Linked DNA regions of Notamacropus eugenii. The protein of the gene in region 3 interacts with the protein of the main gene of each other region in a pairwise test. Links are inferred from orthologs where the notes say so. Each region holds a gene or a part of one and is shown on either strand. Other genes may lie near its edges. The genes, in order: RNF8, DNTTIP1, HOMEZ and AEN.

What was found.
Region 1: the proteins of HOMEZ (region 3) and RNF8 interact in binary tests that used the Homo sapiens proteins (3 or more experiments, as listed by UniProt). The two-hybrid records come from large-scale screens. The link is inferred for Notamacropus eugenii from reciprocal best matches to the Homo sapiens genes HOMEZ and RNF8.
Region 2: the proteins of HOMEZ (region 3) and DNTTIP1 interact in binary tests that used the Homo sapiens proteins (3 or more experiments, as listed by UniProt). The two-hybrid records come from large-scale screens. The link is inferred for Notamacropus eugenii from reciprocal best matches to the Homo sapiens genes HOMEZ and DNTTIP1.
Region 4: the proteins of HOMEZ (region 3) and AEN interact in binary tests that used the Homo sapiens proteins (3 or more experiments, as listed by UniProt). The two-hybrid records come from large-scale screens. The link is inferred for Notamacropus eugenii from reciprocal best matches to the Homo sapiens genes HOMEZ and AEN.

The regions. Positions count from the first base shown.
Region 1 is NC_092873.1:95,060,536-95,067,362, forward strand, and holds the start of RNF8 (E3 ubiquitin-protein ligase RNF8), read left to right. Parts: upstream 1-3,823; 5' UTR 3,824-4,015; coding exon 4,016-4,117; intron 4,118-6,827. UniProt on the Homo sapiens protein: E3 ubiquitin-protein ligase that plays a key role in DNA damage signaling via 2 distinct roles: by mediating the 'Lys-63'-linked ubiquitination of histones H2A and H2AX and promoting the recruitment of DNA repair proteins at double-strand breaks (DSBs) sites, and by catalyzing 'Lys-48'-linked ubiquitination to remove target proteins from DNA damage sites.
Region 2 is NC_092872.1:475,368,796-475,376,792, reverse strand, and holds the start of DNTTIP1 (deoxynucleotidyltransferase terminal-interacting protein 1), read right to left. Parts: upstream 3,005-7,997; 5' UTR 2,861-3,004; coding exon 2,756-2,860; intron 2,566-2,755; coding exon 2,495-2,565; intron 1,401-2,494; coding exon 1,304-1,400; intron 1-1,303. UniProt on the Homo sapiens protein: Increases DNTT terminal deoxynucleotidyltransferase activity (in vitro). Also acts as a transcriptional regulator, binding to the consensus sequence 5'-GNTGCATG-3' following an AT-tract.
Region 3 is NC_092878.1:9,850,373-9,857,659, reverse strand, and holds the start of HOMEZ (homeobox and leucine zipper protein Homez), read right to left. Parts: upstream 3,016-7,287; 5' UTR 2,561-3,015; coding exon 2,515-2,560; intron 1-2,514. UniProt on the Homo sapiens protein: May function as a transcriptional regulator.
Region 4 is NC_092872.1:168,159,405-168,167,265, forward strand, and holds the start of AEN (apoptosis-enhancing nuclease), read left to right. Parts: upstream 1-4,841; 5' UTR 4,842-4,856; coding exon 4,857-4,891; intron 4,892-6,443; coding exon 6,444-7,077; intron 7,078-7,861. UniProt on the Homo sapiens protein: Exonuclease with activity against single- and double-stranded DNA and RNA. Mediates p53-induced apoptosis.

The DNA.
Region 1 (6,827 bases), on a different chromosome or scaffold from region 3:
TCTCTGAGTTCATATGGTAGGTTACTGCTGCCAAATACTGTATATATTTACCCCAATGCAGAAATTTTAAAGGTAAAAAACCTAGGTTTTATTTATATGCTCAAGCACAGTATGCTTCAAAGAAAGACAAAACCTGAACCCCAACTAGACGTCTTACAAACCCTCTTATAGGTAAAATTATATCAGAGTGACAAGAGAAATAATGCTTTTACATATTGCAATCTTGTAAATTTCTTTTAGATCACATAAGTTAAACATAAGATAGATCCATCAGCTCATACTTTTTCCAATGTCATAAAAGTCAAACAAACTTGAATTATAATCTCTTAGTTCATGATCTCTCATCATCGCCTTAAGGAAATAAACTTTGTCAAACAGACTCTACAGGTAAACTAAGTGAGGTTACAGATTAAACTACATTTCTATTCACAAATAGGCAGATTTACATGTTGGCAAGGAGTCAGGAACAGCTGAGATTCTTCCATGGGCTTTTTATCTAAAGAATGTTTATGGCTTTAAGTAAATTTTCACATCTTATGGGATAGGTTGATATTAAGACAGGGTTTTAGTTAGCCAGAATTTGCAAAAAGGAATGGCCCTGAATCTCAAATAATAAAAGAAAATAAAAAATTTCTATAACAATCTCAAAATCAACCTGACCAAAAGTCAACTCACTTGCTTTCCAAACTTCTTTAGTTCTACTAAGGATGCTGCATCACCCTCCCAGGCGCTCAGGCTCAAAACTATAGAATCATCCCTGATACTATGCTCTTCTTACCCCCAACATCCAATCATTTCTCACATCCTGTCATTCTACCTATGCCACATTTCTTTCTTTCAACACTTTCTCCTCTGGACTGCTGTTATTAACCTGCTAATTTGCCTCCTCCCTGGTCATCTCTCTCCAATCCATTTTCCACAACCTGTCAAAATAATACTCATAAGATACAGGTCCGAGCAGATTGCTTCTCTGTTCAAAAAAAGTGAAGAAATAGCGATTCCCTGTTGCCCCTAGAATAAAATGCAAAGTGGTTAGCCTGATATTTAATGTCCTCCACAATCTGGCAACAACCTACCTTTTCAGCCTTATTTAACATTACTTTTCTTCACATAGTCTACCTTCTACCCAAACCGCACCTCTGGCTATTCCCCAAACTGAGTAGTCTTTGATTGCCTCTGAACCTTTCTCCTTAGAATCTAAGAAGGGGACCAAAACTGTCTCAGAAATAATGACTCAAACAACAAATGAACAAAGCATTTGATTAAACATTGCTGTGTGCAACACACTGTGCTAAGTGCGGGGGATTCTAATAGGAAAGTAAGACAGTCCCTGCTCTCAAGGAGCTCACGTTCAACTTGAAGAGACAACACTCATGGAAAGGTTCAACTCCAAGACAGATGGAAAAGACCCAGGATCCTTAGGGGGCAGTGGCAAAGCATATGGTTAGTTATGTTTCTTAATGTCATTTCCACTGATAAAATCTGTCAGTTTCTGATGCCAAACCATTTGACAATGACAAGGACTTTGGTGAGAAAAGCATCTTCAGTAGCCATGGCTGCAGCACCTGCAGGAGCAGTGAACAGGCTGTATCTTCACAGGGGCTGCTTCCCAGGATGATGGCTGGTCTGGAAGCATGGCTATTTTCAAGCTCTTGTATTCATCGTCCTAGGCTGTCTCTATCTGGGTCTGAGGGGAGGTGGTGGTCAAGATGGTGGTTCTGTTGAGTTGAGTGAGGCACATGATGGCCTCCTGTCTCTCAGGGTGCCTTGCTGTTTTATGAATGACATGAACTAATAAAACCAGCGTTAAACATTCTGTGTAAAAGCAAAGGAGACTAACCAAAAACGTCAAAGGGGTCTAACTTAGCAAAGTATGAAAAGATGCACCATATATGAGGTGTACCCAAGGCAGTGTGCTGGAGCCAGCTGGGAAAAGAAGAACCTATTATGGTCATCTAAATGCTCTGAAATCAACAAAGGCTTGAATTATTGTTTTGTTGATTGTCTAAAGTGATGGAGAAAATGTTAATAATGTAGATTAAACTTAAAAGTGTCTTGCATATTTTTTTTGGAAGAGCCAGTTAAACATTTAACAGCACACTCCTGCCAGGGGGCCCTTATCTCTGTTTCAATAAGGACAGAATAAGATTAAATGACGTTGAAAGAGGAGAAGCCAATGTGAAATACTCTATTTGCACAAACAGAAACCATCCCCAAATATAGATTACCTCCCTAAGCCTCACTTTGAAAAAGGAAAAAAAGTTATGCACTAAAAAAGATAAGCAATTTTAAGTCACAGGTTTTATATGTCCATTTTTTGGGGGGAGGAATAAAGTTTGGATCTATTGATTTAGAGCTGAAACAGATCTTGGAGATCATCTAACACAAACCCCTAATTTTACAGCTGAGCTCTACAATAAACATATGAAGCATGATAATGTCAGGATCCGCATGCCAAGACCAGCGCTCTCTTTTTGCTCCCCTCTCTTTACTCTTAGGAGACAACCTTGTTTTCCAGTGCTAAGGCCCAGCAAGCAAGCTGTGTCCTGAGCCTAGCATAACAACAATCCTTTCTGCTCACCCTCTGGATGAACACATCTGCAACAAAATTCCAGAACTGTTTCACACCAGCACAAGTTGGTACCTGAGCTCTAACAAACACCTGCAGGACTCATGTTCTAGTCAGGAAGCCCTGCTGCGAATCAAACGTGTCTCACTTTTGTAGTTACTCCTCAGTGTCCGGGCTCCAGCTCACTGCTTAACCACTACTATATCTATTGAGATTTGACCACACTAAGGTAGATTTTCTCTGTATCAGAGGAGGCCCCAGGCACCTGTGTCTAGTTTCCTTCTTCTAACAAAATAAAAAATGCTTTTCTGCTTTAACTACTGTTAGCTCTTTGGTCTTATTTTATTTTCCAGAGTTAACTATGGTTGGGATAACTTGTGTGAGCTCTTTGGTATTTTCGGAGTTAAAAGAGACTCTGATCATCTGTTTTCAGGGTTGAGAAGACTCATAAATTATTTAACTCCACTTAAAATGTATTGTGAAAGGTTTCTAATTTTTGTCTTTGAAATACTAGTTCCCAGTATATTAACACAAAGTAAGGGCTTAACTGATTCTTTTTGTTTTGGAATAAAATAACATCATTTTGGAAATAAAGTACAAGTACTTCCAAGTAGTGTATTTATTAAAAGTAAATACGTTAAGCCTACCAAACGCTCATAATTTTAAAAATAACTTTTGAATCAATACAATTCAAACGTCATGAACACAATAAGCACTTATATGAAATGTTTGTAAAGCGCTTTACAAAGTGCCTGGCACGCAGAAGGCGATTAATAAACGTTTGTTCCCTTTGCCCCTCTCCCCTCCCCCTCCCCCATTCATTGTCTGGGCCCAGCATGTCAGTTTCTCGCACCGCAATTAGGCATCCAGCGAATGTAACAATGTCTCAGCCGCAACTTTACTTTCTCCATAAAGCTGGGAGAACATCAGCGCGGCTCTGTGGCTCTGACTACAAGCAGAAGTTCACCGAGAACAGCCAGCTGGTGAGGAGACCCCGCCTCCCGACCCGGGACAACAGAGGACGAGAAGCCCCCACGGCTCCCCCGCCTCTCTCCCGTTTCCCTCCCCACCTCCTTAATGCCTCAAGGACGCATGCGCTAGTGCTTTCACGGGGCGGGGGTGGGGGAAGAGGAGCGTAAGGGAAGGATTGATACTTTCTCACGTGCCGCGACTGGGGCGGGGAGGGGCGGGAACGGGAGCCGGGGCCTTCGAGCGTCCGTGGAATCGATTGCAGTTGCGTAGGCCGGAAGCGTTGATTGCTTCGGTCTGTTACTTAGACATGGCTGCGGCGGCGGAGCCAGAGGTTCCAGGAGGCAGGCAGAGGAGGGACGGCCGGGCCCGGGGGCCCGGCAGGGGCCCTGCCCTGTGCTGACTGAGAGCGTGGCCGGGATTAGGTCCGGGTCCGAGACCGGAATCGGGCCTGGGTCTGTGCCGGCCTGGCCGGCCATGGGGGATCCCGGTGGCGGTGACTACGACGGCCGCCGAGCCTGGTGCCTGCGGCGGGTGGGGATAAACGCCCAGTGGCTGCTGCTCGAGGATCGCAGCGAGGTGAGGGGGGAGGGGCGGCCTGGCCGGGCCGAGGGAGGAGAATGAGGCCCCAGGACGGTGGGGTGGGAGATGAGGCCGCCCGGGGGGTGAACCCAGTGTGTCTGCCTCCGCAGGACCGGAGGGAGAGGGGGGGGGGGGGGGAGTGTGTGTCCTGCTGAAAGAGCAGAGGGGGAGAAGCGGGGCAAAAAATAAAAAAATCTGCCCTGCCGGGAGAAGGAAGGGAGGGGGTGGCCTTAGAGGAGTGAAATGAGAGGCAAGAAAATCAGTGCCTGTTTTATGATGAGCCTTTTCGACCCCCCACCCCAGTCTTAGATCCCTTCATAGTCAATCAGTAAACATTTATGAAGTGTCTACTATGTCCCGAGCATCGTGCTCTGCGCTGGGAAGCTCACAGTCTTAATGGAGACAACATGCAAACTTTAGACAGGATAAAAAGGAAATTGGCGGACTCCAGAATTAAGAGGGCTTGGGAAAGGATTCCTGTAGAAGATAGGAGTTTAGTTGGGACTTAAAGGAAGCTAGGAGGAGAATTCTAGGCCTGGGGAAGAGCCAGTGAAAAAGCCCTGGGTCCGGAGACTAGGTGTCTTTTTGGCAGAACAGAGTACAGTATCACTGGATCGAATTGTATGTGTGGGGGATTAGGGGGAAGAAGGGGGGGTGGTGGTAAAAAGAATAAAAAAGTGGGTGGTGGGGCTAGGGTGTGAAGGGCTTTGAAGACCAGAAGATTTAATATTTGAACCTGGAGATGATAGAGAGCCTCTGGAATTTATGGGGATGGGGGAGAACAAGGGGTGTGTTTACATGATCAGATCTATACCTTAGGAAGATCACTTTTGACAACTTAGTGGAAGATAGACTGAAAGGGGGAGACAACTTGTGGGAAAAAGATCAACGAGCGGACTATTGCCGTAGTCCTGATAGGAGGTGGTGAGAGTCTTGTACTATGACAGCGTCGTAGGAGAGAAGGGGAACAGATGGGAAAGATGTTGCAAAGGTGAGATCACTAGACCATGGCAACAGTTCAGATACCTTCTTACAAGGAAGTGACACTTCTGCTTGCCAAATATTACCCTTCTTGAGCCCTTTCCTTTTCACCTGGCCGGAGCTTGCCCCTCAGCAGTTTAGTCCATCTTTTATTCTCTTGGTGGATATTGGCCTCATCCACTGGCTCTTTCCTTTGTGCCTAAAAACATGCTCAGATGTTACACAGTCCTTCCCTTAACCCTGCTTTTTTACCCCCAGACACATACAACACTCTGTTTCTCTTTTTGTTGCCCAGCTCCTAGGAAAAACTCATTGCCTCACTAAAAGCTCAGTACCTCACTTCTCAAATCGCTTCTCTTTGGTTCCTGACGTTGCCATTCTGCTCAAACTGCTAAACAAATAACCTTTTTTAACTGTTAAGTCTGATGGCCTCTTCTAAGGCTTCTTTCTTGAATTTTCTTCATTTTTTCACGTTGTCAGCCACCTCTTTTCTTGGATATTCCTTCATCCTCTGGTTTCCTTGATGGTTCTCCCTATTCTTTCTTTTTCTACCTAGACCTTTGAGTCTGCTTCCCTTGTTTGGCTCCCTTCTATTACCTTTGGTGATCTCATTTGTTTCTGTGGATTTAAATATATCTATGACTCAGCATTTTTGTTTTTGGATTAAACCTATGATTTTATTAGCATAAGAAGCTCTCCTCAAGAAACTCCCTCTACCAGTGCAGGTGGGTAGGTGCTGAGAAGTGATTTGCTCCGCTCACACACCCAGTATTTAGGAGATTGAAGAGGAAATTGAACCCAGGTCTTACAGATTCTCAAGCCCATTTCCTATCCATTGTGCTAATGAACTCAAACTATATATTTTTTGTAAACCTCTACTGGAAAGGGATTTTTAGCACCCCTATATTTGTGTATTTATAAATTATTTGCATACTACTGTATGCATATAGACATATTATAAAACATACAAAACATAAAAAAATGAGATAGATGAAATAAACAATTTTTCAAATTTTTATTTAACAATACATTTTGGTTAAACAGATTGTGATACAGGGGCCTAGTGCTAATTGTGGTGTATCTTGATACTTTATCTTAATGATTGGCATAGCTGAAAAAGATAACCTCATATAAAGATATTGTCGATCCGAATGGAAGAAATGCTTCATTTGGTTATGTTTGCTAAATCAAGAAACACAGTTTCCAAACCCAGCCACGACAATTATTCATAAGTTTTTGTTGAATTTGTTTTATTAATAACTTCCATCTTCCCTGGTGTCAATTCTTACAAACTATTCAGAAGATAGTACCTTTCTTTTTTTTTTTTAACAAATGAGTTGAAAACCTTTTGAAACTTTTAATTTGCTAGATTTCTAAATAGGCTGTAAAATTTGCAAATTTAAGTGTGCAGATAGTTTTTATAAGTGACATACATTGTTTCTGGCAACAGAAGCTTAGTTTTAAAGGTCATTCTAATAATACTAACTTCATGCTGTGATTAGCTAATATCTCAAAGCACAATATAAACTTAGGGTGAAGTTGTTCATTAATAAAAGATAAATAAAAATAAAGCCACATTTGCTTAATCATAGGTTTGTGGATTTAGAACTAGAAAGGTGAGTTATCAAGTCCAACCCTCTCACTTTACAGATAAGGAAACTGAGGTCCAAAGAAATTAAGTGGTTCACACAACTAATGTGTATTGGAGGAGGAATAATTTTTTATA
Region 2 (7,997 bases), on a different chromosome or scaffold from region 3:
CAACAGCTATCAAAAATGAAGATAGTTATCTTGAAGGGAGGGGGTTCTTCTTTGATGGAGATCTTAAGCAAAAGTTATGGAGTAAATGCTCTCTCAGAGACAGACTGGACAAGGAAGGCTGAGTACCCAGTTCCCCTCAATTCTGAGATTTAGTAACCTCTAAAAATCTGAGACTTTAATGCTAAGTCCTACATCATACGAGAGGTGTACAACAGCAATGGAATTCATTACCACAAAAAGCCTTGCAGGTAGACAGAAGAAATAAAGGGCTTATACAAGTGAATCAATGACAGAGCCATAAATAGCTGTGGGGTATACTTCAAAGAATCTAAGAGTTGAAAGGGATCTCTGATTGCATCTAATATAAACTGTTCCTCAAAAAGAATCTTCACTATGACAGACCAAGTGGTTGCCCAAGACTCCTCCTGAAGATGTCCAGTGACACAGATCTCACTACCTATTTTCTAGGGGAGTCCATTTCACTGCTGGATAGCTCTAATTATTATGAACTTTTTCTTTATACTTAGCCCAAATCTGCTTTTGCAGTTTCTACCTGATCTAAGTTCTGCCATCTAGGGCTAATCAGCACATCTAATTCCTCCTCTAATTCCTCTTAAATTCAGTTCTTTCAATGATCCCAGATAGTTACCTATCTATCCATCCCTCCCTCCATCTGTGAAGCTACTTCAGAAAATTTCCCTTCTTCAAGCTAAAAATCTGTAGGCTCTTCAAACTATCTTTTATGGCAGAGTTCTCAAGCCCTTTGGAGAAGGAAATGGCAAAGTACTCCTGTATCTCTGCCCAAAACAACCCCAAATGGAGTCACAGAGAGTTAGGCATGACTGAAATGAACAACAATAATTACTCCAGGCCTTTTACCACACTGATTGTCCTCATTTGGATGTGTTCCAATTTGTTGATATCTTTCCTTAAATGGGACTCACCTAGATCTGAATCGGGCATGGGACATCACCTTTATTTCTGCTATCCTTTAAGGTTGAAATCGGAGAAGACAACCAAACCTTCCCATGGGACATTCCTGAGGGCTATCAGCAACAGAATAGTAGGACAGATGGACTGCAAGTCTGACCCAGTGTGAGAATATTTATATCCTCACCAGATGTTTTCTGATGATTATTTACTGGAAATGTTGGTTGAGAAGATTTTCTGACATATATGAGTTGGATTAGGTGGATTTTAGGGTCCCAGGAGGACTCAGATTCTGATGTAGAAGATTAGATCCAAGCAAACAGGGTGCGTCTGTTAGTATTTCCCTGCCCATTTTTCCTCCAACATCACTTACCTTCATGTACTTGTTGAAGACTGTCTGAATTTCCTCATTGATGCTAGGTTGTAGGACAGCTCGAAGTAGGTCCATAGAGATGGCAGGGTCTGTGAAGCTGCATTTCAAAAAGGGGAAAAATGTCACACTAGTTACAAATGCTTTATTCATCTTTGTCCTGCCAGGGGCAATGACTCTTGTCATAGCTTGTCTTATATTAAATAATCCTTAAATAAATACCTGACCTTAAAGATGAAGGACTTCTAACATGGTCAATCAAAAAATCAATCAATAAACATTTAGAGTTCCTATTACATTTACAGTATTATAAATTTAAGAGACAGTCCTTGCTCTGAAAGAGATTATAATCTAGTTTGGGAGATATAAAATAGGCATAGCCTAGGGTTTATATCTAACTATCAACTCTGGGATCTGTCTTGGGAGGGAGCTGATCCTGGAATATAAATAAACTAGGCTTTACAGACTACAGACTTTTGGCTCTGATTTCTTCCAGACCCAAATACACACGTGAAGTTCTGAAGACTGGTCAATGATCACCACAAATGCTTGGCAGAATCTAGAAGATTTATGTTAAGGTGAAGGATTTTGACGCGGGGAAGATCATGATCGACTTGTTTAATTCACTAGCTGGCCATTAACTAACCCCTGATGATCTTACAATCTTCCATTTTTTGGGAACATTGTGGGGAAAAAACATGTTAAGAGTAGAAAATGCCCTTAGAACCCATCTAAGTCATCTCATGCTCCTAGAATCATCCTTAATTTACAGAGGGAGAAATAGAAGTCTAGGTAAGGTCTAGGTCTGACTTGCCTAATGTCAGAGGTCTAGAACTGGAATGTACCCAAGAAACTAACTGGTCCAAATACTTATACTTTCATCTTGCAGAGAAAAAACTGAGGTCCAGAGAAGACAAACTTTTGGAAATCACCTAGAGAAAAAAACCCTCTCATTTTACATCTTTATAAACGGAGGCACTTTGTTTTCTAGATCTTCTCATTCTACATCAGTGCCCTTTCTTTCACGGCACACAGGGAGCTGGGTCCGCCCTCCTGACCTTCTTCAGTGGTCCATTTCCAGCCTCCAACAAGGAAGACTCCCCGTTTCCTCCCTCCCCCGCCCCCCCAGCAGTGAGGGCTCCGGGGCAGCTGGTGCTGGTGCCACCGCAGCGTCCCCGGGTCCAGCGGGCTCACCTCGTAGTCATCTGGGAGCGGCGGCCCCTGCGCTGCACCTGCCGGTGTTTGATCATGATGTTCCAGGGGTTCTGCGGGAACCAAGGCGCTGGTGAGCCCCCTGCGCCCCCGATCTCGGACGACGGAGGAGGGGTTGGGGCTGGGCAAGGGGCCCTTCTCAGGCCTAGCCCCCCGCTCCAGCCCAGCTCCCTGCCCCGACAGGCCTCGACCCGGCCCGACCCGAGGGGCCCGTGCCCACCTTCCCCGAAGCCCCTCTCTCACCGTGACCACCAGTTGCCCCGCCGAGCCCTCGTCTCCAGGCTCGGGCCCGCCCCGCTCCGCTCCACTGGGGCCTCGCGGCTGCTCTGAATCCCGAGTGGCCCCCATGCTCCCTCCCTCCTGCACCCGGCCAGGCCGCCGCCGCCACCCCAGCCGCTGTCGCCGCTGCAGCCGGGGGTCCGGCCCAGCCCCTTAGCCACCGGCCGGAAACGAGCCCGTCACACGTCATTGCGCCGCGCCGCCCCGCCCCCCGGAAGAGCGACGCGGCAGGCGGCGAGGTTGCCATGGGAACCGAGCGGCGCGTGCGTCCGGGAGCTGGAGAAAAGGGGAAGAGGGAGAGCAGAGGCTGTTGGGGTCCAGGGCGGCTTAGGGTGGGCGTCGGCCGGGGCTTCTGCGGAGGGTGTGGCTGATGGGACCCCCCCACCCCCACCCCCGAGCCTGCGGGTTTAACTACGAGGGGGGGGGGGGGCCGGGCGGTTGGTAGTTTGAAAACTGAGTTTCCCTAAATGCCCCTGCGCCCGCGGCCGCGGAGAGAAGCGTCCCTGCAGGATCTTGGGCGAGTCTCCTTCCTTCTCTGGTCCTCTTCGTCCTCGTCTGTAAAATGAACCTGGCTAGTTGGGGTGGGTTTTAAGATTCCTTCCGTCTCTGATATTCTTGAGTTCCTGGGGTCCAGGACTTGGGAGGCAGGACACCTGGGTTCTAGGCTGACCTCCACCCACTGTGGGCACGTCCTCTCCCTTGTCTGCCCGTCTCGGTTAGAGTCGCTGTCCATGAGGTGGGATCTCGGAAATGCCTTCCAGCACCGAGGGTCTAAGGTAAATCAGCCTTGGGGCTGAACACCTCGACCTCTTATCGGAGTGATTCACCCTTAGTAGGAGCTGAAGCCTGAAGAGTAAGTCACGCCTTTTGGGCGGGAAGGAGAATCCCTCTGGCCTAGATACCAGTGATTTGGGGGCCTGGCTGGGAATGTGGACCGGACCAGCCCTTAAATACCCAAGTGAGGCATTTCAAGAGCTTGAAGACAAATCCTACAGACTCATGGATGGGTTTACAGCACAGAAAAGATTTCACTTTTCACAGAAGGTATGGCACTTTCAGGAATTGCCTCTAAAGCCAACACTGGTTTTTGCTGTTGCAGGAGAAAGATTCCTTCAGGCCTTGGATTTTACGGTAGTTTTCACTTGAAGTTCTGAGTTCCCTTCTTCTGTTAGGATTCTTTCAACAACCTAGTAAGCCCTGAATGCCACCGGCAAGGCTGCAGAATGACTATGGGTGTCAGGGGTGATCAGGCAAGCACCTGACTTGAGATCCAGTTTGTATCCTGGCCTTGGCTTTGCCATTAGCATCTAGGTATATGTCTCTCAGGGTTTTAGTTTTCTTCTTAGTAAAATGAGGAATTTGGACTAGGTAATCTCTGAAGTCCCTTCTAGTATTGCTATTTTATGGCTTACGTTCTAAGATTCCTTATGGTTCTGAAATTTTATGGTTCTTGCAGTGACTGACTAAACTAAGGCATGGGCAGGATAGAGAGGAAGTAAGAAAGGAGAAAAAAGGGGAAACAAAGAGGGAGATGTTACAGAGTGCTACTAGCAGTTATTGGCACCCATAGTATTGATGTGGTTTGGGGTAGCTGGGAACCCTTAAATGTCAGGGTACAGAGTGAGTCTGCCTGGAAAGAATTCAAGCACTCAAGCCTTTTTTCAGTCAGAGGAGCAAGGTTTATCCTAACACCAATAGAGAGTTAACACCCATAGAGTACACTAGATTCTTAAAGAATCTGCAGCTTGATAGGGGGTGAGATTGATACTTAAATATAAAAAAAGACCAAAGATTCTGATGGGATTAAGGTATGGCCTGGGGTGGGCCAGGGACAACAGTGAAATGGTCTAGATGAGATTAAGGAGGAGTAAATAGCCTGAGATGGCGGCAGTGAACTGAATTAAGTGGTCTGGGGTGGGTCACAGAGCCACAGTGAAAGGACTATTGAGATCTAGGTGGGCAGGACTGGGCCAGATGCCTCTGGCAAGATGCCAGGGGCTGGGTTGTGTGGGAAAATTCAGGGTCTAGGTCCCATCACACCATCAGTATTGTTTGTTTTTAGTCAGTTTTTACTCTTCAGTGACCCCTTTTGGGGTTTTCTTGGCAGAGATACTAGAATGTTTTGCCTACTCCTTCTTTAAGCACATTTTACAGATGAGGAAACTGAACCAACCAGGGTTAAGTGACTTGCCCAAGGTCACACAGCTAGTAAGTGTCTGAGGTAAAATTTGAACTCAGGTCTTCCTGACTCCAGTGTTCTGCACACTGGACCACTTAACTACCCCTACTCATAGTGTGGATCCACCAATTTCTTCATTTGTTCATTTGTGGTTGAGCTTAGAGAGATAAAGACGATGCTTGTCATTTTTTAGCCATTGACTGTGGACAACATTAATGCTTTCTATAGCTTTTTAGGAGCCTCCAAATTGTAACTTTGCTCTTTGTTTTTAGGGTTCTCAAGTTGACTAAATCCTGATGTATTTGATTTGCTTTTGGATGCAACTTCATTAGAGTGGGTCTCTGCATCTTTCTAACTATTTCTTTTTTAGTATCTTTGCTTCCTTCTCTGGACAGAATGAGAAGCTTGAAGGGGTGCTAGGTTTAGGACACAATGAGTTTGCTTTAGCCACAGCCCCATTGCTAGAGTGTACTGTTTCTTTAAACAGACTTGTAGGCTTGCTTCTCTTTGACTCTTTCTTCAGTCATCCATAGCGCCCTCACCAGCTGTCCATTGTAACACTTGGAAAATGTGTTAGGCTTTGAGGCTGAACATACTGTTACCTGTTATTCTCCCCACGTCTGTTCTTTGTAAATACAGTTTCCTATCAGGTCAGAAACCAATCCATTTTTTTTTTTTCCAATCAGGAAATTTCCCTGGCAGTGCATTGTATAAAGAAGGTTCTGGGGCTGAGTTCTGGGAAGTTCCTAGGTTCTGGCCTCTCCCTGAGCTGTTTTTTTGGGGAAACTTTAAAGCTGTGGTCCATGCTGCGCCCCCACCCTTATCCTCAGGCAGCCTCTGCCCCATCATGGTGCTTTTCATCTTTGGTACTGCGGTGTACCAAGTAATTGGGGGTGAGTGCTCAAGCACTTTGTTGCCTCCTTTTGACTACGACCAGTTTTCATCCTCTTAATTTTTTTTTTTAAGTATTGGTTTTCTTTCCCATCTCCTGCTCTCTTATCTCTCAGTCGAACAATTTAAAAAAAAGAAAACAAAAACGCCCCCAAAATATGCATAGTTCAGCAAAACAAATTCTCACGTTGTCCAAGTCCAAAAATGTACGTCTCTTTTTGCATTTTAAGTCCATTTTCTCTCTGGTGGGAGGTGGGGCCATGTTTTATCTTCAGTCTTTTGAACTTTTGCCTTAACATTGCGTTGCTCAGAGTTTTAAAGTCTTTCCAAATCCTTTTTTAAAAAATGTTGTATAAATTGTTCTAGTTCTGCCTACCTCACTCATCAATTTATAGAGACCTCAGTTATTTCCGAAGCTGTCCATTTTGTCATTTTTGTGGCACAATAAATATTAATTTTCTTCATATACCTTAATTTGTTAAGCCACTCTCCAATAAGTGGATACCCACTTAGACCCTAATTTTGGAATATTATCAAAGAGCTTCTATAAATATTTTTATACATGTAAATCCTTTTCCTCTGTCTTTTTTATTTTTTTTTAAATTTTTTTTTCAGAATAGACCTAGTAATCCATGGCTGGGTTATAGGGTTTAACAGTTTAGTGTCTTTTTTTGTGCATGCTTTCAAATTGATTTCTAAAATAGCTGAACCAATTCACAGATTCCCCAAGAGCTCATTAGTGTGCCTATTTTCCCAGAGCCCTTTGAACATTTGTCATTTTCTTTTTTTAATCATCTTTGCCAATCTGCTGAGTCTGAGGTGGACCCTCTTGAGTTGCTTGAATTTGCATTTCTTTAATCTTTAGTGACTTGGAGAATTTTTTTCATATGGTTATTGATAGATTGGATTTCTTCCATGGAAAACTGCTTTGTTCCTATTTTTTTGGCTATTTATTGAAAAATGGCTCTAGTCTCATAATTTTGAAGTAGTTCCTTCTGTATTTTGGATAGGGCACAACACAAATATACTGAAAAGATTTTTCCCCCCAGTTACCTATTTCTCTTCTTATTTCATCTTTTTATACAAAACCTATAAAATGTTACATAATGAAAATTATTCATTTTTTCTTGTGACCTTCCCTCTTTGTTTGATCATGAACTCTTCTCTCCATATATTTGAAAGATAATTTCTTCTTTGCTCTTTTAATATGTTTGAAATATTCCCTTTTATGTATGTCATGTACCCATTCAGAATTTATCTTGGTCTATACCTAATTTCTGCCAAACTGCTTTCCAGTTTTTGCATCAATTTTTGTTAGATATTGAGATTTTTATCCCAATAACTGTGGGAAACAAGGAAGTTCTGTTTCCACAGTTTGGGGTGATCAGGGTTGTGACCTAGCATGGTCAGGTAGAGGTCAGAAACTTGTGCACAGGCTTGATGAGCTGTTTGAGGGAAAGCCTAGCAGAGAAGAGAACATGAAGTCAAGTGGCAAGGGACAGGTGGTGATAGGTCCAAAAATTCGGAACAGTATAAGAAGCTTCCATTGATCTGAACAAGTTGAATTCTTCCTATAGCCTTACTGGGAAGCTATCCGTTCGTAATGAACATAGAAGGCACTCCCTCCTCTGAACTCTATTTTAATAAATTTTTCTTGATACCTTTTTGTGTGTCAAGTGCATCTCTAATAGTAACTAATGTCTTCGAGTTTATCAAATACTGTGCCCTTTTATTTTTTTGCTTCTCTGTGTTATATATCTAATCTATTCCGCCGATCTACCTCTGTGTTTTTTAACCACTACCAAATCATTTAAATGATTGCTACCTTATGGTGTAGTATGAGATCAGGTATTGATAGGCCCCCTTTCCTCCCACTTTTTTTCATTATTTCCCTTGAGATTCTTATTTGTATCCTAGAAAGAGATTGGAAATATCCCTTTCCCTATCACTGCATTTAGTTTATGCTATGTTGGAATTAATAGTTTTTTTGAATACTATTCATTGTAAATCCATCTGGTCTTGGATTCTTTTTCTTTGATATTTCATTTTTGGCTTGTTAATTTCCCATCTTTTTCCTCATTGTACATTTTCTTAATTATTTTTTTTGTGCTGTTTACTTCATGCAAGTTATAATTG
Region 3 (7,287 bases):
TTCAGTCGTTCCGGACCCTGAAGTGCTTCTGCCCTTCCCTTGTGCCGCTCGCTGACGGAGGAGGAAGGTGAGGCCCGCAGTGACTGGGCCAGGGTCACACTAAGCGCGCGTGGGCGGCCGGGGCGGAGCCCTGGCTCCGGCCACCTAGCGGCCAGGCCTCTGCCCCGACCAGGTAGGAGCCTGGGAGCGCGCCGGCGGGGCCTTCCGTGGGCGGGGCCCTTCCGTGGGCGGGGCCCGGGCCGTCCGGGAGGCGGGGGAGGCGTCCCAGACACGTGCTCGGACTCGTTTCCCGGCCGAGCGGCGGCTTAACGTCACTGCGGGGGTAAGCTGGCGGGGGTCCGTGCGGTGCCGCGCTGTGCGGTGCCGGGCTGCGGGCCTGCTGTCGGCAGCACTTCAGTGTGGGAAAAGCCTCCCAAAGCTACAGCCAGCTACTAGATTGAAGCTGCATCAGTTTAGAAAAAATGATGGAAGTTAAACCAAGGCAAAGGGCTAAATAAAGTAGGTCTCCAGGTGGGCACTAAGTAAATGTTCTCTTAAAAACGTCTGGCAGCCTCTGCTCTAGATCCTCGAGGGCACGCCGTGTCACCCGCAGGGCTCTCCGTTCATCTTCTCAGACACCGCCCCAACTCGGAGCTCATCTCCAGGAAGCCTTTCTGGCTCCTTTTTCCTCTGATCATCCCAGCTTCTCCCAAGCACCCCATCTTCGTGCTTGTTCTCCTCGCACCCCCTTCCCAAGCCCTGTCGGACTGTGAGCTCCTTGGGAGCGGGCACTGCTTTCTGCTTGGGTTTCTACCTCCAGTGGGCAGCGCAGTGCCAGGCAGCAGGGGCTTAAGAAACCCATCTGGTTGACTTGGCTCTGCCGTCCCCTTGGCCCTCCACTACATAACACCTTTTCTTGTGCAGTTTTTAATTTCTTGCCATTTGGGTCCTCTTCACAGTACACTCAATTCTTATTCCTATGGAATTCTTCTTGTAACCACCTTGCTAGGTAGTTAGTAAGGGTCATTATGTTTTAAAGGGAAGGGAATAGCCTGAGGGAGATGAAATGTTTTTTGCTCAATACAGGGGCCTCAATTCTTCCCTCACAAGGGAGAACTCCAGCTTCCATTTTAGGCTCTCCTGGTCTGCTTCAGGGTCTAGAGTCCTTTTGGTTATCAGATAGCCTGACTGTAGGGAACTGCGCAAGACTGTGATGGGGTCCGTCAGGACTGTTTTTGGCCAGGAGTCTTCTTTCAGAATTTTGAAATACAACTACATGTAATCATGATCCCTGCTCCCCCTCCTGCCCACCAGTCGGTATATATTGTGTAGGTATCCTTCAAACTAAAATTTGGTAATGTTAATCATTTGGGGACAAAACTTCACCAAACAGATCCACAGTAAAGGCCCAGAACCTTTCCACTCAGGTTAGAGCCCTGGATGACATCACTTTCAGTTAGGAGGGAAGCCAGAGACATTTGTCCACGCCATGCAGTGCAGGCTTGGTCAAAGTTAGAGTCTCTGTGGAAAGGGCCACTGGATTTGTAGTCAGAAGACCTTGAGCAAATCCCTCTGGGCCTCAGTTTCCTTATCTGTAAGAAAATGAAAGGGTTGGACTGGATGACCTTTCTAGTTCCATTCCAGCTTTAAATTTGTAGTCTAGAGGATAGGACCTAAATGAAACAAACCTGGATTGACCAGCAAAGACATGCCACTGTGGCTCTAAAACCAGAATAGAGGGTGGAAAGGAAACAGATTGTGGGGATTTCCCCCAGCTACTTAGCCCTGGGCAGACTATTGCATCTTGTTTTTGTGGCTCAGGAGAGGTGGAAGAGCTAGCTCTGGAAAGACCAAGGGAGGGTGGGATGGCAAGTGCCTTGTTGCTCCCATCTTCTGCCTCTCCTTGACTCCACTTGGGGTTTTCTTGGCAAAGAAACTGGAGTAGTTTGCCATTTCAGTCTCTGGCTCATTTTACAGATGAGGAAACCAAGGCTAACAGCTAAGTAACTTGCTCAGGGTGACGCAGCTAATGTCTGAGGCTAGATTTGAATTCAGGAAGAGTCCACAAGGGGGAAGGGAGCACAGAGACTCCCTCTATTCTTTTAAAAATTATTTCCCATGGGAGGGAAGAGAGAAAATGGAGCACAAGAAAGACTGGATTGACTGAAGCAGTAAAGGGAACAAAACCACTTTTCCTATGGCTAGAAATGAGTATGGAAGCAAAGCGGATTTTTCCCTCCCTCAACTTGACCAGTTCTCTCAGGTTTGTTCAGTTTTTTTTTTTTTTTGCTCATGCACTTTGCACATGAGTTTGGTCAGATTCTATTGGCCACGAGTATGCTCTCTCTGATTGCGTGAAGGGACAAAGCTAGTGGAAGCTGGAGAAGCTACTTGTAATTTTTAGAATAGTGGCCTGGGACCACAAAAGATGAAGCTGGGAGGAACTGAGCAGTGTGGGGGGAGGCGAGGGGAGAAAAGCAGGAGTGTGGTGGAGAGCCTAGGAGGATCGGGCGTCATGAGGCTGTCCCCACTCACCTCGCTCTGAGGCTCTGCTCCTCATGGTGGGTTTATCCTTCAGCATATCAGACTTTACTTAAAAAACCTTGGTGGGAAGCGGGGACAAGCTGTAGTGACATCACAGCTCATTCATTATGATGTAACTAGGGCAGGCCCCAGGGCCTTCCAGGGGTAGGAAGATTCTGGCCCCAAAGCTAGAGTCAGTCAGACTGTACCACCACCAGGATGGATGGGGGAGGAGACTTGAAGGTTTTTGTCCTTTAAGGTGGTGGTGGTGGTGGGGGAAAGCTCATTTTCTTCTTTTATTATTAATCTACTCTTTGCTGTCCCATTCCAGACAGGGCAGAAAGGCTTTTATAGCTTCTCTATATCGTTTCTTATCTTCCCTGTTTCACGCCTGCCTGTAAGATGACCAATGGCACAGAAGGATGTAACCCTCAGGGAACCCTTCCCCTCACTAACTCAAGATTTGGGGGTTGCTTTAAAGAAGAATTAAACTGAGCTCTTTTCCCAAGGTGGTTCCTGTGACTAGTGGCAGCTGTTGATATATGTAAAAAAGGACTCCAAATTTTCCACTATTGGCTTTTCCACTGCCTGAAAGATCCTGGAAAACCACTAGGGTAAGTGTCCTACTATGACCCTTAAACTTCTGCTACCTTTCCCCACTCCATTACACCCTCACCTTGCACAGGTTTACCAACCAGGAGCAAGGTTCTGATGGGACTTTGAAAAGTCAGCTGTTTTGGTAGAAGGGTGCTGCCCCATCTGACAAAGGGGATGCCTATTTGCCCACTTTTTAACAAAATCCCCTCTCCCAGACCCAGAACACATCTGCTTATGCAGGTGTTTGAGATTCCATTTTAATTCTATTTTTTATTTGTTAGAAAAATGTTTTCTATCTGGAAAAGAGGTAAGGGAAGGTGTTGTGTTCAGATGGGTGGTCCCGAATCAGGCGCAAGATCGTAAAATAGAGAGGTTGGGGGCATACTGTCATGCTGGAACTGGAGGCATACAGTGTTATGGGATGTGAGGGCACGGGTGAGGATGCAAGTATACATTCAGCCGATTTTAATTTCCTCTTATCTGCTGCTGTTAGAATCGTGGATTCAGAGCCTTCAGACAACTTCAGTTCATTATTATCTCCAGTAAAATGGAAGGCAAGGGCTGAGGGCAGAGGAAAAACTCATCAGTTCATTTTACTACTTCTTAACATTATATACCCCATTGTGAACATTGTAAAACTTTTTCTCAAACTATCAGACCTTTTCCAAGCAGGCAACAGTCTCCTATTTCAATGGGAAGACGGAGGCCATCCAAAGGGCTCTGATTTGTTGAATGGAATCAGTATATCCTACTTCAGAGAAATTGCATCCCCAGCTACTTGCAAAGGCTGGTCTTTTTAGTTGTGCCCTTGACCCCTTTCACCCATTTCTTGTATTTCTCTATCCCAGCTCCTTCCAGGACCTTGTTCCAGTAATTGAACCAACTCCCTTGCCCCAAAACACACACACACACCCTCTTTATCTCCACTGCTTCATTCTCACAAGACTATAAACATGGTCAAATCTTTCTAGTCGCCCCCTCCAAATCTTTCCTTCACTTTTCTAGCAAATCCAACAATTACCCCATTTATTTCTTTCCTTTCACTGCCAATATTCTGGTGGATCTATGATTTTACTTCTTTGGGCAACTCCTTCCACTAATCCAGATTATAAAGCACACTTATAATTCATTATAATACAGTCTTTTCATCCTGTGCCATTATCAGTTAGTTTCTTTACTTAATTCTTACATAGAGGCATTCTTTTGGTTCACTACCAATCTTCAACAAAAAGTTGTTTATATCTGATGTTTCTATACGAACCATTCTCCACAACCCCTTACATTTTTATGTCCTACACAACTCAACTGCAAGTGGCCTCTCAAAGGTGTGACTTAATGCCAAAACCTAATGACCTTTCTTAGCCCTGTGAAATTGAAAATTAACTTTTAATTCTATTTGTTAAAACTTAACTAAGCCAGCATAGATTTAATACTTTCTTTCCCAGTGAGTCTAAATCCCTTACACCTTGCAAGTGTACTCAGGTAATCTCAGGTCACTTTGGTTTAGTTTGAAGACTTGTACCTCCACTCTGGTAACTTGACCTTCCCTCCCCCTTTCCCCCACATTCTGGAGAAACTTGCATGGTAAAGGTCAGGCTCATCGTTCACAACTGCCGTAGCAACTCCCACTGCCTACAGACTGACGTCATCACTTGAGAATTGAGCTCATTTTCCAGTGATGTAATGGGGGGGAGCTGAGTAAACATTCATCCCACCTCCTCCATGAAACATCTAGACCATCAGAAGGCATGCCTGTGTTGGTCGAGATTTTATTGTCATCTTGTTAATCACTATAAAAGAGCCGCCTGTCCCCAACTTGAGGTCTTTGGCTATTGAGGATCCATTTTATTGGCAAGTGCCAACCTTTCTAATAAAGGGAACACACTTAGAACTCTATTGCCTCATGACAGTACTCATATACCTTTACTTCCAGGTAACTGTCCAGTCCCTACTGGATACTTTCTCTTCCCTTGCTTCTTAGACATCACAGTGTTCTGATTCTTTTCTCTAATGGCTTAGAATCATAGAATTTCAATTGGAAGGCTCCATCTCTCTCTTCTTCCTGACCCTTTAAGGAAGGTATTTCTCAGTCCTTTTCTCCCTACTGCCTCTCTCTGCACATCCCTTCTCTCCAATGTGGTCCTTACATAAATGAATCCCAGATCTGTTTCAAGCCCTGACCATTCTCCTGAGCTCCACATAGCTATCCTCAACTACAAACTCATTCCACATGCTCCAAAAAAACCCCAAAACCATTCTCTCTTCTGAGGACTGTTTTGTCACCATCTTTTATTTTTTCTTTTTTACCTCTTCCACACCTCTCACAGGCCAACCATTATCAATTGACTCTTTTCTGTAGCATCTCCTGCATCTTCTCCAGTTCCAGCATTCCTAACCTAGCTTAGGCCTTCATGATTACCTGCTTAAATGTTAATAGGTCTTTCTGCCTCTGCTCTCGTCCTTCAAGCCATCTTTTCCCCCTACTGCCAGATGTCTGCATTATGCACTAATCTAGTTGTGCCCTCCTATTCAGAATTGTTCAAAGCTTCCTTCTTGTCTGTAATCCAAGGTATCACTCTACCTTTTCTAGCTTAACCTCATATTATTCCCCTCTACATATACCATGCTCCAGTCAAACTGACTGTTTGCTGTATCTTATACTTGACTGTCTGGGGACCTTTGTTTTCACAGTTCCTTGTTTGTCATACTCTCCCCACTCCCACAGACCTGTTGAATTCCTATGTGTTCTTCATAATCTAATGAAATGTCACCTTCTACAGAAAGCCTCCCCAAGTCCTCTGCCAGCCCCCCAGTCTCAGGTGGTAACCACCATTCCTCACATCCTTTCCTGGGAACTCCCAGACCAGGCTGCAGCTCTCTAATGATGCACAGGGTTGCTTTTTCCTATGACTGCTGCTGTTATGTATCTGTCATACCCCAGACTAGATTCTGTATGTGCAGGGAGGGACCCTGCATTATCTGGATTTTGTATATTCCTCATCTGACCTACAACCACTTAGCACAATGCTCTGCACGTTTATGGTGCTTAATAAAGTCTGCTGAACTGAAACATTTAGAAAGCTTAGGAGAGGAACAGTGAAAATTCTTGCCTAAAGATAGTGTTTGAAGAGAAACAGATGTTTGATTTATTTTTACCTTTGTCAAAAAGCTAGGAGTTTGTTGAATGAGAAAGTATTTTTGGCCGGAGATTTTCTGGGGAAAATCTAGTCCTAGGAACTAATACAGAAAGAACACAGGGGACCCAAGTTACAGCCCTAATGCTACCATTAGCTCGTCTGAGTGACCTTGAATAGGTTACCAAACCTCTTCAGACCTCAGTCTCCTAACACAGCCAGACTAGACAATTGAAGTTCCCTTTTAGCTTTAACACATTTTGTGATTCTGAGAGCCAGTGATGATGAATTACCACCATCCCTTGTGAGCTATACATGAAAAAACAAGACTTGGAACCCGGAGTAACATGAAGTCAGATGGCTGAAGGCTACAATTTAGGTGCAAGTGATGGCATCTGGTAACACAAAGAAGCCCCCTTTCCAACCATCTCATAATTCTTTCCCCTCAGATCACACCTCTTGTTCAAAACGAGTGAATGTGTGCCCTTTCATTATGGTACTACTTTCTGTTGCTTGGCATTTTCTGTGATATATTTTGTCACATTATTAATGTTTGAATAGAGAAATAACCTAACCCCTGTACTTTCCTTTTCACTGTACTCTGAAGTCTCTTCCATTGTAAGTTGGGCCGGGCCAGCCCTGGGAAACTAGTGTATCACTCTGGGGATGGTTGGTGTTGCCTGTCTTCCTGTTAAGGATGTGGACAGAAAGTCAATGGGTAGCAAAGTTTTGGAAGGAGAAGGGGGTAGGTGTGGGGGAAGATAGATGTACACGTTGACATCTTTTGGGTGGCAGGATTGGTGGAATCCATGGTGCTGCTGCGTGAAATGTGTGCATGGAAGGGTATGAGGACAGAGAAAATGAGAATTCAGTCCAGGAGGTAGTGGGGTTCATCTTCTAGTGCTCAGGCAGGGAACAGCACAACCCCAAGAGAGCCCTCCCAGAAAGCTTCAGAGCACTGCGGTGCATACCACACTCCTTTCAGAAATGTACAGCAGGCATAGGAATACTGACTAACCCAGTAAGGAGAGAAACCAAGTCATCAGTGCGGTTC
Region 4 (7,861 bases), on a different chromosome or scaffold from region 3:
GGCCAGGGAGGTTGTGTCATCAGGAGGGATCCAGATCCCAATGGGAGCCAGGGATGAAGGGAGTGGAAAAGGAAAAGATTTAGGATGAAAGTATTGGTTACCTACTGAGTATCTATTCCAAGGAACACAATGGAAGAAGTGGGTAGCTTCAGAGTGGGACACCGCAGTCAGCAGTGGGGAGGGGTATATGTGAATAGATTTTGTATAATGGAGGAGGGGCACTTCAAGATGATTTGGATGGGCTGTATATGATGGGGTTGGGTATTTTTTAATCATTGTCAAATGAGTTCTGGAGAATTAATAACATCACTAGATCCATTAGTCTCAGGGTGATGACCTCTCAGGTTGTTAGGCAGCTCAGGCTGGGGACTAGTACGAGGACTTGCCAGAAAAGGTTTTCTCTCCTAGTGCTTCAGGCAAGTCAGACCAAGCCAGGAGATAAGTGGAAGAACAAGAAGGAATGACCTCTCTGTCGCCTGAAGGAAGGAAGGGTGGGTCCTCTCTAAGTGGGACAAGAATAGCCCAGGAGATCTGGGCAGATGAAATAGTATTGACCAGAGTTTTAAAGTCAGAATTGTTTAGTTTTACAGTTACTGTAATAATTAACTGTATAATTCGTTCTCCTGGTTCTGCTCCATGCACTCTACATCAGAGTGCCAGTCTTCTCAGGTTTCTGAAACCATCCCCTTCATCATTTTACTAACCCATTCTTAGCACTTTCCACACTGCTCTAGTTTATATTCCTGGAATTTAAGGCAGGTGTTAGATCAGAGCACAGGTGCTCAAGCTGTGGTCCTATGACCCCGAGAGATCCCCTAGACCCTTTTCTGTCCTTGACAAAAATTTCAGGGGCTCGATGAGGTCAAAACTATTTTTATAATAATACTAAGATGCTATTTAGCTATTAAAATACTCTTCTCCAACTACATATGTCTGTGTAAGTTCAGATTTTCTTCATTTTTTTAAAAAACCACAACAGCATATGACAACAGATGGAATGCAGAAGCAGAAAAGAGAATCCAGTTGTCTTCTATTAAGCTGACATTAAAGAGATATGCAAAAATAGGTAAAAACTACATTTCTTTTTGTTTTAGGAAACACTTTTCATACTTTCCTTCATTACCGGTTGGCTTTTGATTGTTATTTTTAAATGGATTAACGCTATTTTTAAAAATGACCAGTTTCAAATTTTAACATGGTAAAATATCAAGAGATATAATCAAAAGCTCTTGGAGATCTTCAATCATTTTTAAGAGTGTAAAAGAGCTCCTGAGACCATAAAGTTTGAGAGGTGCTGGATTAAAGCAGTGACAACTGAAACGCCATAAGGTGAGAAAGAGAGTTAGAAAGAGGGAGCTAGGAATTGTATCTGAAATTTTTATTTTAAAAAATTTTCTTTTAAAAAAATGTTCTTTTTTCTGCATCCGGGTCATTTCTCAAACTCAGTTTCCCACCCTCCCCACAGAGTCAAGCCAAACAAATCGATACACGGACCAGGATTGAAAACAGAAGCCCCGTCTGTCCCCAGGGTCTCCAGGAGAGGCTGGGAACGGCTGCAGGTCTAGATCAGAGCTCGGAAGTGTTTCCGTCTTCCTTTACTACCGCGCTAAGGGTGCCTCCGGCTCTGTTTACCGGGCTCGGTCCCGCAGACTTTACCTTTAAATCCAGCCCGCAGGTGAGGAGGACGAGCCCGGACACCCCGCCCCGTCCTCGAAGCCACGCGTCTCGCGGCTTCCGACGGCTCGCCAACGTCAATCCCGTGACCAATCAGAGGAGCGTAGGGGAGGGCAGTGCTGTTGAAGCAGCCAATCGGCGGAGAGCAGAAGCCGGGCTTGCCCGGGCATGTGGGAGCCTCTGCCTTCTGTGCGACCACGTGGGGGCCGGAAGGGGGACTTGCGAGTGTCCGGTAAGCCGTGAGGTCGGGGGCTCGGGGCCTTAGGGGAGGGAGACCCTCGGGAAGTGGCAGGGCCTCGGGGCGGGGGGCGCGGACTGAGCAGGCGTGGGGGTGGGAGGGAAGGCCGCGCCCGGAGGCCGGCAGTCGCAGCCTCTCCCGGTTGCGGCCCCCTTTATGACCTCGCCACGCGTAGAGAAAGGCCCTGGCGGGGCCGGGAGAGCTTCTGGATCGGGCTGGACCGTAGGGTCCGGGGGGGGTGGGGGGGGTGGTAGGGCTGGAGGAAGGGGCCTTAGGGGCCGTCCTGGTGAGCCCCTTTATTTTACAGAGGAGGAAATGGAATCCCCTCCCCAACCCCCCCAGAGCTTAACCGACTTATCCCAGGTCAGGGCCCGAGGCAGGACTTGAACTCAGGCCCCCTGACTCGGGGTTCAGAAAAAAAGCTTGGGCTCCGGGAGGCCAGCCGTCCAACGCCGCCCCTGCCGCTTGCTATCCGCGTGACCTTAGACAAGCCAGGTAACCAACCCCCCTGGGTCTTTGAGTGTCTTCCAGTCCGATCTTGGGACTCCACAGAACCGCAGTGCCTTCCCAGGATCTCGGCTTCCCCTCCGCTAAAACTGGGGAGCGGGTCTAGGTGAGGTAGGAGAGTCTGGGAGCTTTGACTTCTCCTGGGCCTTGTCAGCCACCCTGCGGCTCCTTGAAGGTGGGTGTCCAGTTTGAGGGCAGCCCTGACTGCGACCGCGTCCCTGGAGGCCCTCCTCTTGGGGACTCAGCCCCCATTTTCCTTCAGGCTTTTCTGTGGATGATAAAAGATTACAGAAATGTTAAAAATTGAAAGAGACTTTAGCTATCACCTCCTAATTTCACGAAGGAAACTGAAGCCTGGAGGGGCAGAGTGATTTGGCATAGTTGTTCAAGTAACAGAGTCAAGATTTGAACTCAGATCCTCCCTGTGAAGAGGAGTGCACTCAGGTCTATTTTATCATCAGGCTTCTCATTCAAGAATCATGAGTCTGTGGATGCTCCAGAATTCTGGAGGGGTGGTAGTGCTGAATTGGGTCCAGGAGCCTTGGTACTATAGAAGAAGAAAGATTGATCCAGTGACTCAATGGATCAATGACTCTTTTAATAAGACCCCTCTGGAATGTGCCAAGTCTGGGCTATGTTAGTCAGAGCATTAGTCACTCAAAGATAGGTCAGCACTAATCACAGCTTACTGTGGCTCTTGAGAGCCTATCCTTTGATGAGGTCATGCTTATTTCTTACAATTCAACCTCACCTCTTCCCTGTGGGGTGAAAAGAGGTCCTGGAGACTTCTCAAGTATCACCTAGTAACCAGAAGTCTAGAGAGTTTAAGTATTATAACAGAATGAAATTTTAGATGTCAGGATTTGGAAGGAACTTTAGAGGTTCTATCAGGGAAAAAAATCTCTGGGGTAGGAGTAAAACAGTTCTGAGTTCCAGCTCTGCCATTGTCATTGTCACTTGTGTAGTCTCAGGCAAATCACTTAATGTCTCTGAGTCTCAGTTTCAGCATCTTTTGAACAAAGGGGTTGGAAAGATGACCTCCACAGTTTCTTCCAGCTACAAATCTATGATCCTATTTGCTTAGTCCAACCTCTTAATTTAATAGATGAGGAAACTGTGCAGAGAGGTTGGTGACCAAGGTTGGTAGTCTTCTGACCCCCTTCCTCAATCTAGTGCTTTTCATGTGATCTGGCAAATTGCTGGCAGAGTCCAGAATGCTAATCTCCTGGCTCCTTGCAATCCTCTCTCCACTGGAATTCAGATTCTCTTACACTGTGTTCATGATTTGTTTCTCAGAGTCTTGACTAACTTGGATTCCCAAAGCTCTGGAACTTGGCTACCATAGTTACTCTCCGATGGTGTCTTCTTGTCCATTAGGGTTTATATATGTAATCCTACAAAGGAGCTTTAAGATTGCCTGCTAGAACTCATTCATTCTCTTCCCTACTTATAAACCTCTCAACTCCCACAGGGCCTAAAGAGGATCATGTGGCTCACGTTTTGTTTGTTTTCCAGATGACCAGATAATTGTATTGATTTTGCAGGATCAGGCACACATTGGGAAATTAATGTGTTGTGTCTGAAAATAAAGAGTATATGTTAAGGGCTCTTACCATCTCCATTCAGTGTTCTCAGGAAGCCAGTTCTGATGACCAACTGACCCTCGGTGGGGGAAAAGGGGTTTGGTCATTTCATTTCTCAGTGCCCCTCTTTCCTCATTTGCCTGATAGGAAGAAAAAGCACTGCTATCAAACCCTTTAAATTGGTGTTGTTGCTATTTTACATATGAAGAACACCAAGGTCTACCAAGGCTAACTGACTTGCCCAAGATGACAGAGCTACCTAGTGGCAAAGCCAGAAATAGAATCCAGGTCCCTGACTTCTGTCCTAGGGTTTTTCTATTATACTTGCACTGTAAATAAAATTTGAGTAAGGTCAGTCTATGCTAGACTCTTGACCTGAGGAAAAATGACTCCAAATGAGATTAGGAATTAAAATCTGACTACTTTGGTATGGGGATGTGTAAAACAAACCACCCACAAATTAGTGTCACTCAAGTGTGTTATCCTGCTGTGCCCTGCCTTTCTGCTGCTCATCCCTGTTCCCCTAGAGGAAACAGTCCAGCTCAGACTTAGAATCGGTTCCTTGCAAATACCAGGCAGGACAGATAGGATCTGAGCAGAGGCAGGGAAAAGTTTATGGCCACTGGGGTTTCTGCTTGTTCTATATATGGCCTAAGATATACCCTAATTCTGCCAGATAGGGTATTTAAAAGAAATCTTTTGAGATAAGCCCATTGTTTTAGATTCAGGGAGAATAGGAAAATCCCAGCTCTACTACCACTAACTGCTATGTGATTTGGGGCAAATCACTTTCAGGACTTCAATTTCCTCAGCTGTAGAATGAAGAGAAAACTGTCTTAAAAACATTGAGTGACATGCCTGATGTACTAAGATGTACTGAGGTTAAGAGGTAGGTGTTAAAACCAGGTCTTTTGACCTCATTTACACGTTAAAATGTTTAAAATAACAAAAAGGCAAAAATGTGGATTGGAGTATAACAACAATTTTATGATAAAGATTGAGTTAATTAGAGAAGACATCATTAGAAGAGGTGAATCCTGACCACAGTTTATAAACAAGGGATTCATTGATTGTAGATGGTAGAGAGGCAGCCTAAACCAGTAAGAATTAAAAATTTATAAAGATGAATTTGTTGGTCTGCTTCTAGATGGCAAGGAGTGGAACTACTGACATACTCTAAGTACAAGGTTTATTCAGAGCATGGAAACCATTGAGGGAAATTCCCACCAAATGATTCTAGGAGATGAGCGGCTGTCTTACTGAGCAGCCTTGAGTCCCAGTTATGGGACTGGGTTTGGGAAAGCAAAGCATATGCATAACCCAGGAAGTCTCTATCCAGATTGTAGATTCAGTGGCCCAACCCTGGTAGGGTTGCTGGAGCCTTTTGTAAAGGGATCGTTTTAGGGTAACAGAGGTCCCAGATACTTTTGAGCATCAGTCATGAGTAAAATCCTTGACCTTGGGCTCCTGCTGTCCTTGATTATAAGGACAATCCTTACCTAACTGACTATTTCAGGTAGACCCCAGACCATGTTTCCTCTTCTTGGCAGCCATCTTGCTGCCTTGTCTACTCTTGCTCTCATGACCCCTCTTCTCCATTTTTAGTTCTCAATCCATAATCAAATTAATAGTGCCTTTGCTTTTGGAAAGAGGGTGTGTTCATATAGCTCAACTCACTATATACTATTTTCAAAATTGAATGCCTGACTAGCTACCACCCCACCTGAGATGCCACAGGCTTTGGCTCCCACTCCACAATGTAAATTTTATCTTCATCTGTCCCATCCCTGGCCATCACTCCCCTTTTGTATTGTCTCCTATTGGAATTTCAACCCCTTTATGGGAGAGACTGTCTTCTCTTTTTAATTTGTAGCCCCAGAACTTAGTATGCTGTGTACAGACCCATAATAATTAAATGCTTTTTCATTCACTTATTCATGGATTACTAGAAGTTCTTTGCTGCCTGGGTCTGCACTAGTAGATTTTTCAGTCAGTCTAGCTGTTTCTTGTCTATGTGCGTTGTTCCCGTCACTGGGGGAAGGAGTCTGATCTCACCAGCTTGCATCCATCAGCAAGTTGTATGTAGGGTTTGTTTAGTAACAGTAAAGGGGAGGAGTTGGCAAACAAGTAAACTCAAGCAAGTAAAACTCAAGGGTACCAATTTAAAGGATTAGCCATACAACCATCTCATTGTACCTGGGGAAAAATCCATTCACTTCTATCTGATTTGAGTCTAGAGATCTAGGCTCCAATCTTGGCTCTGACATTTACTATACATGTGACCCTTTCTAGTAAGTTTATCTTATGACAAGGTAGTTTACTTTCTGAGTTTCAGCTTGAAGCATGTATGAAATGGATAGGGAGGGGTAGAGGAAATCCTTCCCCTGGTCCCTTCTCACTCTGATGATTACTCTGACATCTGTTTCTTGTCCCCTTCTTAGGGTGCTGAGCAATAGTGGATCAGAGCCTGGTAGAGAGATGGCCACCTACGTTCCCCTCACTGAGCTGACAGGTATGGCATCGAAAGACAGCTCCCAGTACTTTCAGTGCTCAGGTACACCTTCTACCGAATCCAGTGATAAGGACACGTCTCGGTGGTGGCACAAGAGGAGGAGCCGGCGGCACCAACGGTTCATGGCACACAAGGCGCTTCTAGAAAAGCGAGGTGTGCTGATTACACCTCAGGAGTCAGAGGGTACCCTCCAGTTGGCCAGATCAGAGGTTCTAGAGGATGCAGAGGCCACCAGGTGTAGTACACATCAGGTTACACTTGGATCACCTGGTACCCAGCCCAGAAAAAAGCCAATACAGAAGATTGAACCCAGCAAGGACACTGCCTCTGGCCATGCTATGCCCAACAAGTGTGTGGCCATTGACTGTGAGATGGTGGGTACTGGACCTGGTGGGCGGGTGAGTGAGTTGGCCCGATGCTCAGTGGTGAGTTACCATGGGGATGTTCTATATGACAAATACATCCGGCCTGAGACACCTATTGTGGATTATCGAACGCGCTGGAGTGGCATCACCCGACAGCATATGCAAAATGCTGTCCCCTTCAGAGTGGCACAGAAGGAGGTATGGAAATGGCTAGGGAAAGCCTTGTTGATATGCTGAGAAGTATTGGGGGAAGGCTTAAGATTCATACTTTCCTCTTCAGAGAATTTGGGGCAACTTGCAAATTGAGGACAAAATAAAATTGAAAAAATGGAGCAGGGAGGCTTGTGGAGTCTTCATCTGGCCCCACTTCTACCTCCTTTTTCACAGAACTTGTTTGTGTTACTAATAGCAGAGCCTGATTTCCCCTTCCACAGGTGACTTGAGCCTGGGGCTAAGAGTATGGTGTCTGACAATTATCTTGGTTCCATCCTGTGAAGGATAGTCTTGTGTCCTCGACTACCTTTTATAGTTTTTTTTTTAGGGCAAGAAATGACCTTAAACTCTTACATCTTCTATATACCCAGCAGTAGAGGCTGGTAGTATCATGTAGTGCAGAGAGAGCTGACCTCAAAGCCAGGAAAACCTAGTATATCTAATATTACATCTGACCCATATTGGCTGTAACTGAACAGATCAGTTAACCTCCCAAATTTGTAGGCAGTTCTCCAAGACTAGAAGTTGTAGAGAAGGGCCAACTTGTGTTGGAACTTGGAGTTCAGTGAAATCACAGGTCTAGTGTAGCACCTTCTTGCACACTGTTGAGTGTGTAGTGCTCAGTCCAGAAGTAGGGAACCTGCTGTCTTGCCTCTAGGCTGCAGGTTTCCCACCCCTGGCTCAATCAGTGGCTTTTGATAGGTTAATGGAGGTAGGATGAGGGGAAATCCTTACCCCAGCTGAAGAAGTTGTCCTAGGAAGAGGTACT